Saccharomyces cerevisiae S288C: one gene and its partner. The protein of the gene in region 2 interacts with the protein of the main gene of each other region in a pairwise test. Each region holds a gene or a part of one and is shown on either strand. Other genes may lie near its edges.

Region 1 (4,837 bases), on a different chromosome or scaffold from region 2:
GACTAAAAATAATGGCGACTTCTGGGCCGGCCTTCTAAAAAAAAGGGACCCGCAACGGGTAACGGCATATTTTTTTCGAAATCAAAGTTCCAGCTTTTCGATGTTTGTAAGCCTTCTAAGACAGAAAGATGTAGTATAAATGATGTAGCTTACTAATCAGGGAAAAAGCAATCGCTAGTATTGCAGAGGCCAAAGGCTTAAGCATCACATTTCGGTAGTAGTAAATAGTTTGTTAGTTCACGTGCTTTTCATTCGTCTCTATTTTACATATTATGATGTCTTCAGACCAACAGGGGAAATGCCCCGTAGATGAGGAAACCAAAAAGTTATGGCTACGAGAACATGGCAACGAAGCGCATCCTGGTGCTACTGCCCCAGGCAATCAACTAGAGTGCTCTGCAAACCCACAAGATAACGATAAAACGCCTGAATATCACACCACGGTGGATCTCTCTCAGTCCAGAGAGGTTTCCACCATACCAAGGACGAATTCTGACAGAAACTGGATATACCCGTCGGAGAAACAATTTTACGAGGCAATGATGAAAAAAAATTGGGATCCGAACTCAGATGACATGAAGGTGGTTGTGCCTTTACATAACTCCATCAATGAGCGGGTTTGGAACTACATTAAAAGCTGGGAAGACAAGCAGGGTGGTGAAGCGTGTGGCGGTATCAAATTAACAAATTTTAAAGGTGATTCCAAAAAACTGACACCAAGGGCCTGGTTCAGGTCCCGTATCTTGCACCTGGCCAAACCTTTTGATAGACATGATTGGCAGATAGATAGATGCGGTAAAACCGTCGACTACGTAATCGATTTCTATTCCACCGATCTGAACGATGCAAACTCGCAGCAACAACCACTTATTTATCTCGATGTTAGACCAAAATTAAACAGTTTTGAGGGCTTTAGATTACGGTTCTGGAAATCTTTAGGCTTTTGAATTACTACAACTATTCCTGTAAATAAAAACATACCCTCCCTAGTTTCCACATACATATTTATTTAATCTTATTTAGGCACTCAATTTAGAAACTAGGGAATGAAAAAGCAGTAATCTTCTTTTAAGGAATAAACAAAAAAAAAAAAAATAAAACATAAAACATAACACAAAATACTCTTTTCTAATGCATTTAAACTTCGGTTTTCACGTCTTCCTCATCCTCTTCGTCTTCCTCGTCATTGCTCTCATCGGATGCTGTTTCATTTAGAGCTTCTTCCTCCTCCTCGTCCTCCTCATCCTCTTCGTCATCCTCATCATCGTCGTCCTCATTGTCAGCACCCTCTTGTTCTTCTTGTTCTTGCTCTTTATCACCAGTTTCCTCGTCCCTAGCTTTCCGTATTTCATTGATTCTCCTCCTAACGATCTCTACAATATCTGTCCATTCTCTCATACCACCCATACCAATATCTCCGCATATTAATACCTTTTCCACCGGTTTCAAAACTTGGATGAACGGATAGTCTTGCACTAAACTCGTCAGGTGTTTCTTTGTCATAGGATTGATATACATGAATGTATTCATTGCAGGCGCAATCAACACTGGGGTCAGTGGTGACCAATCTCTCATCACAGAAGTTAGCAAATTGTTACATATACCATTGGCCAGTTTAGCAAGTGTGTTAGCTGACAAAGGCGCAATCAGGAAAATATCAGCCCATTTTCTTAATTCATGGTGCAATATCAAGTTCAGACTCAAGCTAGTATCATTCTTATTCACAGCGTCGAATACCCAAGCGTCTTCCTCCCTCCAAATTTTAACGTGTGTTGACATTTTGAGCCCTTTCAAAAAATGCTCAGCGGGTTTTGTGACAATCAACTGAATAGAGATTTTCTCAGGCCCATATATCTTGAAAAGTTTATCAATAATTAGAGGTACTTTTATTGTGGCAACTGAGCCCGTCGCACCAATGAGAATGTGGAATTTCTTGTCGTCTTCCTTCTGAAAGAACTCTGTGAAGGGTACACGAGGCCCTGTGGGTGCAGTGATAACTTCCTTGTTTTTATGTGTGGAGTTATTAGCCGATAATGGCGCCGCCTTTGCAGTGATAGGTTTAGAAGCGTTTGACTTGGGATTGAAGTAGATAAAATCACCTGGCATATGAACGATAGAATTTTTTTCCATCGAAGGTGAATCTACTTCATCTTCGCTATTGCTCGTACCACTCGATACCGAATGTTTCCTGATATCAGTACCATCATTAGTAGTGTTCTCCTTAAATATTGCATTCGCTATCCTCTCCTTTTCGTCTATCAGTTGCTGTCTTTCAGTTTGCTTTTTTTGCACTTGCTCCTGAATTTGCTTCACCTCTTCTTGCTGTTTTGCTCGTTGATTTTGCTCCTGCAGTTGTGCCTTTTGCTGCTCTTCTTGTTGTTGATTTTGCTGCAGTTGTTCCTGCTGCTGCTGCTGCTTTCCAGGTTTATTGGATATCGAATATCTATGATACGGCAACCTTTCCACCTCGGGCACCGTAAATGAAACAGCAGAAGGTAATGAAGGTGAAAACCTTTTTTGCTGGCCATTTGTATTAGCTGGCATACTGGTGTTGATCTGTATTTCATGGCCATCTTTGTTCCTTTCACTATTTTGCTTCAGATTGGCAAAAGAGAAATCCCTCAAATTTGTGCTATAATCGTTTTTGTAAATATTCCTCCTATTAGAGTTGGATTTTGATTGATCTTCATGACTATCAGATCTTTCGAAATTTGATTCATCGTGAATACTTTTTCTTCTCTCCTTGTTGGTCAAAATTGAAACCGGCACTTGTGTTGTAGGCAAGGATGAAATTAAGTTAACTCCCTGCTTACCGTTCATATTCTGATCTGAGTTCACTTTTTCATCCGTCATCACACCTAATAACTCTTTGCTGGTCCTTTAGACTTTTATTTAAATATGCTAACTAAGTGTTACTTTACTGTTCTTTCTCTTTTTCTGCTTTTTGTTCTCTCATCTACGAAAGTTCGGTGCGAAATTTTACGTGATTCATTTTCTTACAGAAAAGTTCACATGTTTAACAGTATAAGCGTATGGACCTAGTTATATTTCTTCAGTACATAGCATGCATAATGAGAATATTCACATCATAATTACCCAAAAGTGTCAAACGTACTGTCTAATTCTTTGTCGTTGTCATCGTTAGCGTCTTCTGAAACGGTCACTTGAACGAAGAACATTTTGGCTTCATCATTCCCTCTATTGGCAATCGCGTACTCGTTGAATGCCGGTATTTGGAAAGTGGAACCTTTAACGCTCAAGAACTTGTTCTTACATACAGTTACTTCGACTATTCCCTGTATCACGTGGAACGTAATATATGTCCTAAATGAGTTGCTTAATTTCTTTTGTCCAGAAATAGCTGGTAGTTTTAATATGCCGCTAGCAAAATATTCTTTATGCTTATCGAACATTATCTCAAGGGCAAAATTCTCGTCCTTCGTGTCTTTTACTTGTTCAGTTTGCGACAAATTGGGCGCGAATGCAATAATTTCATCCTTAGTTTCCTCCTTAGTGTCGCTAATTTTCACATTAGCTTCCAGTATTCCATGTTTCAGCCACTCGCCATTTTCTATGCCTCCAGATTCTATCCTTTCTATAATATCCTCGTTGGGATCTTCTGGAATCAAATTTTCCTTTGCATTTGGATCCTTCTTTGGCCTTCCTCTTGGTCTCCCCGTAGGTACGTAGTTGTAAGGTCTGGTTGGTGTAGGTTTTTTTTTTTGTTTCTTCCTTCTTTGTGCTGCCAATATCTCCTCTTCGTCTTCAGATTCATCATATGTGACAATTTTGTCTATGTCAAGAACGGGTTTATTGGACTTCCTCTTATATACTATTTTTTCGTTCCTCCAATACTGCAAAGGCGCCACCTTGACTCTTGTAGATTTCCGAAGCCCGTTTCTATCAATTATTGAATCTGTACGAACCACATCACTCGCTTGTCGTCTTATATAATCATCTTCATTGTCATTTGTGTTCACCTCAGCCTCCTCTTCTACTTCTTGATAGGTGTTATCTCCATCTGAATCACTGGCTGAATCCGAGCCTGAATCCAAAGATGAGTCACTTTCAATGTAATCACCGTCCTCTTCACTTTCAGGTATAAACCCGTCATCTTCTAATTCGTCTTCTAATAATGCGTTATCAGATGTGTTTAAAGAAGTGTTTACTCTATCATCGTCATCCTCATCAGCAACCAAATCAGGTACATCTGAATAAACATTCTTATTAGTGATTCTATCAGGTGTCAACCTTACAGAAGGGCTTTCTGAAGTGTCAAGGCTATACCGAGTGGAGTACTTTCTTTTATATGTAGGTTTACTCAATTTCTGTGTGATTGGTGTGGCAAAATCATTGCCTCTGATATCATTTTCTTCTTGTTCTGGTTCTTCCTCAATAGGCTCGAAATCATTGGCTGGACTCAGGAAGTTTGATTGATGGCTTAACAAAGATGATCGTCTTGATCCATCGCCTTTCCCAGATGGGCTTTGGACAACTTCATCATCTTGAGATTTATATGACTGTAGAAATGGCGGTAATACGTTCTTAGTATCGCCATTTAACGTTGATGGTAAGAAAAGCGATGATTTTCTTCTGCTTTTCCTTCTCATACTGATAAGACTAGTTTCATCATCTTTGAAAAAATCATCAATATTTTCCATGCTGTATTCATCTTTGGGTATATCTTGCTTAACATCAATACCAGTTTTACGGGACTTAAGCCCCAATTTCATATAATCCATGAGTGAAGTGCTGTCCTGTGCTAATGTCTAACTTATTTGTTTAACGTATGTATTTTTCTAACATTCATTTATTTACATCACCATTTCTAACGCGT
Region 2 (4,268 bases):
CTCACCCAGCGATGATGGTAAGATGGACCATATTATGGTGAGCACCAAAGTGCTTGTTATTATCATATATTGTGAAAACCAGTAGTACTCTTTTGTATACATATTGTTTATTTATATCTTTTAGTATTAGACAGGAACAAACAGCTCAGATTCTTTTTTTGGCAAATCTGCTCTCCTCTTGTGATTGTTTCAACTTTCTTTCAGCACATAAATTTTAAAAGTTTACTGGGCCCAAGCAGGAACTTTATTAAGACAATAGGGAATAGTGAAAAAGCCGGCAAAGTGAAAATACAAAAAGCGAGCAATAAAACTCGTACTCTCAAAAAACCCAGAGGAAAGGAAATGAGAAATTGAATAATATTAATATTTACTTATTTAGATTCTCGTAAGATATAAGTGAAACTATAACGACAACTTTATCGGCGAAAAAAAGAAGGAAGAGGAACAACCAAAGAAAGTTTTCAATGAGCTTATTAACTGCAACATTAATATCTAGTTTTTCAGCGATTGGCTAATTTACGTTCTTGCCTGCCTTTTTTCATCACTTGTTTCAAAGCGGTACTGTCCAGTGGGTCCAACAACTCAAAAGAACAGAGTAGGCCTTCACTAACGGTCATGACAGCACCCCAGTTATCGAATTCACCACAATAGTTGGGAGCCGAAAACACTGTAACTAAGCTTCTGTCATTAAAGAATTCATAACCATCTTCCACCACCATATGTGCTCTACACACTAAATCGAATCCGAATTTGTTTAAAAATTTATTAATAGCCACTTTATTGTAACAAAAACTAACTCCACGCTCATTATCCTCCCATTCATTCGATGAATCTGTAGGATCCGACCATAAAAGGTCATTAATTAAGCCGAAGTCGGGTACATCGGTGGGCCTACTAACGTGCCTAATTTCGTCCATGGAATTTAGAACAGGTGATAGTCCACCATGAACACAAAATATTTTTCCTGTGACGATGGCTGCTAACGGTAGCGTGTTGAACGTGTCAACAAAGGTTTTCCAAATCTTGATATTACAACGTCGTTTACATTCATCATAAAACCCGTAGACTCTTGTAACATTGGCACATTCATGATTGCCTCTTAAGAGGAAGAAATTTTCAGGATATTTAATCTTATAGCATAGTAATAGTAAAATGGTCTCCAGGGACTGCTTACCGCGATCTACGTAATCGCCTAAAAATAAGTAATTTGCCATGGGGGGGAAACCGCATTTGGTAAAAAGTCTCAAAAGATCTGCATATTGGCCGTGAACATCACCCACTATTTTTACCGAGGGAGATAATTCTAAGAGAGCAGGTTGGGCAAGGAATAATTCACGAGCCTTATGGCAAATTTGAATAATCTCGGAATTCTTTAAGCAAACATTCTTGGTCCTCTTTGCGGCATAGCCGGCATCTAGTAATCTCTGGATAATTTCATCTATGTCCACTGGACGAACTGGTTTTTTCCTTTTCATTTCGACCATAGTATTAGTCCTAGATCCATTATCACCGTCTGCACAACTCCCGTGTACGAAATCACCTGTGGGAGATGGTGGGGAAACATATATTCTTTGACTGGAACTGGAAGACGATGAAGACCGTTGTCCTTTGCCCCGCGGACTAAGTGAAGATGATGAATCTCTGTGAGCTAGTGTTGGATATGCACTTAAATATTCTCTTTTTGACGCTGACGACGCTGACGGCGAAGGCTTGTCTATGTTTAGATTAGGGATAGGTGAGGTGCCTCTACCGTTGACGTTGTCTCCGCTATCGTCGTTGTCCCTCGAGCTCATTTTTCTTAACGCAGGTGAATGCAGTGGTGTGCTATAAGCTGTATTCCCAGTGGAGCCAAATGACGACTTCCTGGATGATGCATGCGAGTTTGATCTGTTTGAGAAATAGTCGCTGCCATTCCCTCCTGCTTCTGCATTTAAAGGATAACTTGCTGGCAGAGTATTGTCTGATCTTCTGCGTAATTTCGATGAAGTCGAGGAAAATCCTGTTACACCTTTTTCCGGTTGTAATGAATTATGACGTCTTAAAGGAGTACGCTTGGAGCCTCTATCTGCGGAAGAACTAGTGTTGATGCGAGTAACTTTGGCCATTGAGGGGCTCTCGCCGCCATCATCCCCCCTATCGTCGTCATCATCAGTCAACGCATTTTCGTAAGAGTTGAAAGAGCTAGTGGAATGCATGCTTGTACTATTTTTCAAGATGGGTGATTTGGGCTCCATCTGGATCATTGACGGGGGCAATTCTGAATTGTTATTATTCCCCATGCTCGACCTTCTCGAAGAGGAAGAGAGTCTTCTTGACGAACTGGGATGTGAGGTTAGGTAGTGGTTATTAGGAGGAGTGATTGGGGCGTTGTTTGATCGCCTATGGTTGCGATTGCCGTTTCCCAGAGTGGACGATCTGCGGGAGAGGGGTTGCGTTTGAGCTTGAACATTAGATGCCAACGACGCCTCTGAGCGTTTCGACCGCAGCGACCTCAGCGACCTTGACGATTTCAGCGAATGTGTAGTATCCGATTTTGTCAGTGGTGGGAGATCTAGTGTCTTTTTCCTGTCACCGTCGTGGTCATCCTTCTTGCTATTGTGCTTGGTATGTTGTTTCGAACCGGAATTACCCATGGTACTTGCTGATCAAATGTACGATTCTGCAGTTATAGGGGGGGTAAATAGAATAGAATCTGATATTTTTTCTCTGAATTTGCACCGTATTCTAGTTAACTATTTCTCTCTTTGTCACTCTGAGGCACCTATGTTAATGCTATGCTGAGACAAAGGGGGAAGAGGAGGCGACAAAACCTACTATATGTGTATTTCTTACGCAAAAAGGTACGGTTTGCGAAGTATATTATGGCTACCGTATGCTTGTATCTGTGAGATACTATATAGTTATGTAAACAATTTCTCTCTTCCAAGAAGGGACCGCCTTCTTCTGTGCATCGCTGAGACCCTGGCAAGTGAGTTACTTTGGCAAGTGCAACGCAACGGCTGGCGTCCAAGGCCTGTCGCGGCGACGTGGGGGATCCAATATGGGATGCCATAAGAAGCAGTAAGGTGTGAAGGCAAGACGTACATTGGTATGTGGAAGAAGTTGTCAGACACCATCGTAGCGGCGACTGCAAATTTTGGATTGTGGGAATCGCAATAAAGTAAGAGCGAGCACTACAAGGTTTAGTGCAGCGGCTGCCATATTTTACTTCGTACAGGCATTTTAAGGCGATTCCGTCAGCAGCACACTATGTTATCAATCAATGAAAACTGCAGCGAAACTTCTGAGCAGAACGCACAGATAAGAGGTACTTATCTGTTCATCAGATGGTCAAGCAAGGGGATTGAGTTCTGGGCAATTGCGCCTTGCGCCTGGGTTCAAAGGCTGAAAAATCTGGAGTTGGAAAGATAGGGGAAAAAGAAGATGGGTCAGGGTCCTTGTGACTCCGCATAAACTAGATGATAAAGAGTACAAACAAGTCGCCATGGAGAGAATCATACAGCAGACTGACTATGATGCGTTGTCGTGCAAATTAGCTGCTATATCAGTCGGATATCTTCCTTCAAGCGGCCTGCAAAGATTGTCGGTGGACCTATCCAAAAAGTATACAGAATGGCATCGCAGCTACTTGATTACTCTCAAGAAATTTAGTAGGCGAGCTTTTGGAAAAGTAGACAAAGCAATGCGGTCTTCCTTCCCGGTAATGAACTATGGGACATACTTGCGTACTGTGGGGATAGACGCGGCCATATTGGAATTTTTGGTTGCAAATGAGAAGGTTCAAGTGGTAAATTTAGGTTGCGGTTCCGATTTACGAATGCTGCCCCTGTTACAAATGTTCCCTCATTTAGCTTATGTGGACATTGACTACAACGAATCAGTAGAATTGAAGAATAGTATTTTGCGTGAAAGTGAGATTTTGCGTATCTCCCTCGGTTTGTCAAAGGAAGATACAGCAAAATCACCCTTTTTGATTGATCAAGGAAGATATAAACTTGCTGCTTGTGATTTGAACGATATCACTGAAACAACCCGTTTGTTAGACGTATGCACTAAGCGCGAAATACCCACTATCGTAATATCTGAGTGTCTTTTGTGCTACATGCATAATAATGAGTCTCAATTACTAATAAATACAATCATGTCGAAGTTTTCACATGGACTATGGATATCCTACGATCCAATTGGTGGTTCTCAACCGAATGACCGATTTGGCGCCATTATGCAGTCCAACTTGAAAGAATCAAGGAATTTGGAAATGCCCACGT

The links. The genes of interacting proteins can lie anywhere in the genome.
Region 1: the proteins of PPZ2 (region 2) and CAB3 interact in binary tests that used the Saccharomyces cerevisiae proteins (3 or more experiments, as listed by UniProt).

The regions. Positions count from the first base shown.
Region 1 is NC_001143.9:273,299-278,135, reverse strand, and holds CAB3 (phosphopantothenoylcysteine decarboxylase complex subunit CAB3), read right to left. Parts: upstream 2,854-4,837; coding exon 1,138-2,853; downstream 1-1,137. Other genes in the region: cytochrome c1 heme lyase CYT2, read left to right, coding at 273-947; MIF2 (Mif2p), read right to left, coding at 3,093-4,742. UniProt on the Saccharomyces cerevisiae protein: Component of the phosphopantothenoylcysteine decarboxylase (PPCDC) involved in the coenzyme A synthesis.
Region 2 is NC_001136.10:1,333,186-1,337,453, reverse strand, and holds PPZ2 (salt homeostasis regulator), read right to left. Parts: upstream 2,634-4,268; coding exon 501-2,633; downstream 1-500. Other genes in the region: phosphatidylinositol N-acetylglucosaminyltransferase GPI19, read right to left, coding at 1-102; PPM1 (leucine carboxy methyltransferase), read left to right, coding at 3,485-4,268. UniProt on the Saccharomyces cerevisiae protein: Essential for the maintenance of cell size and integrity in response to osmotic stress.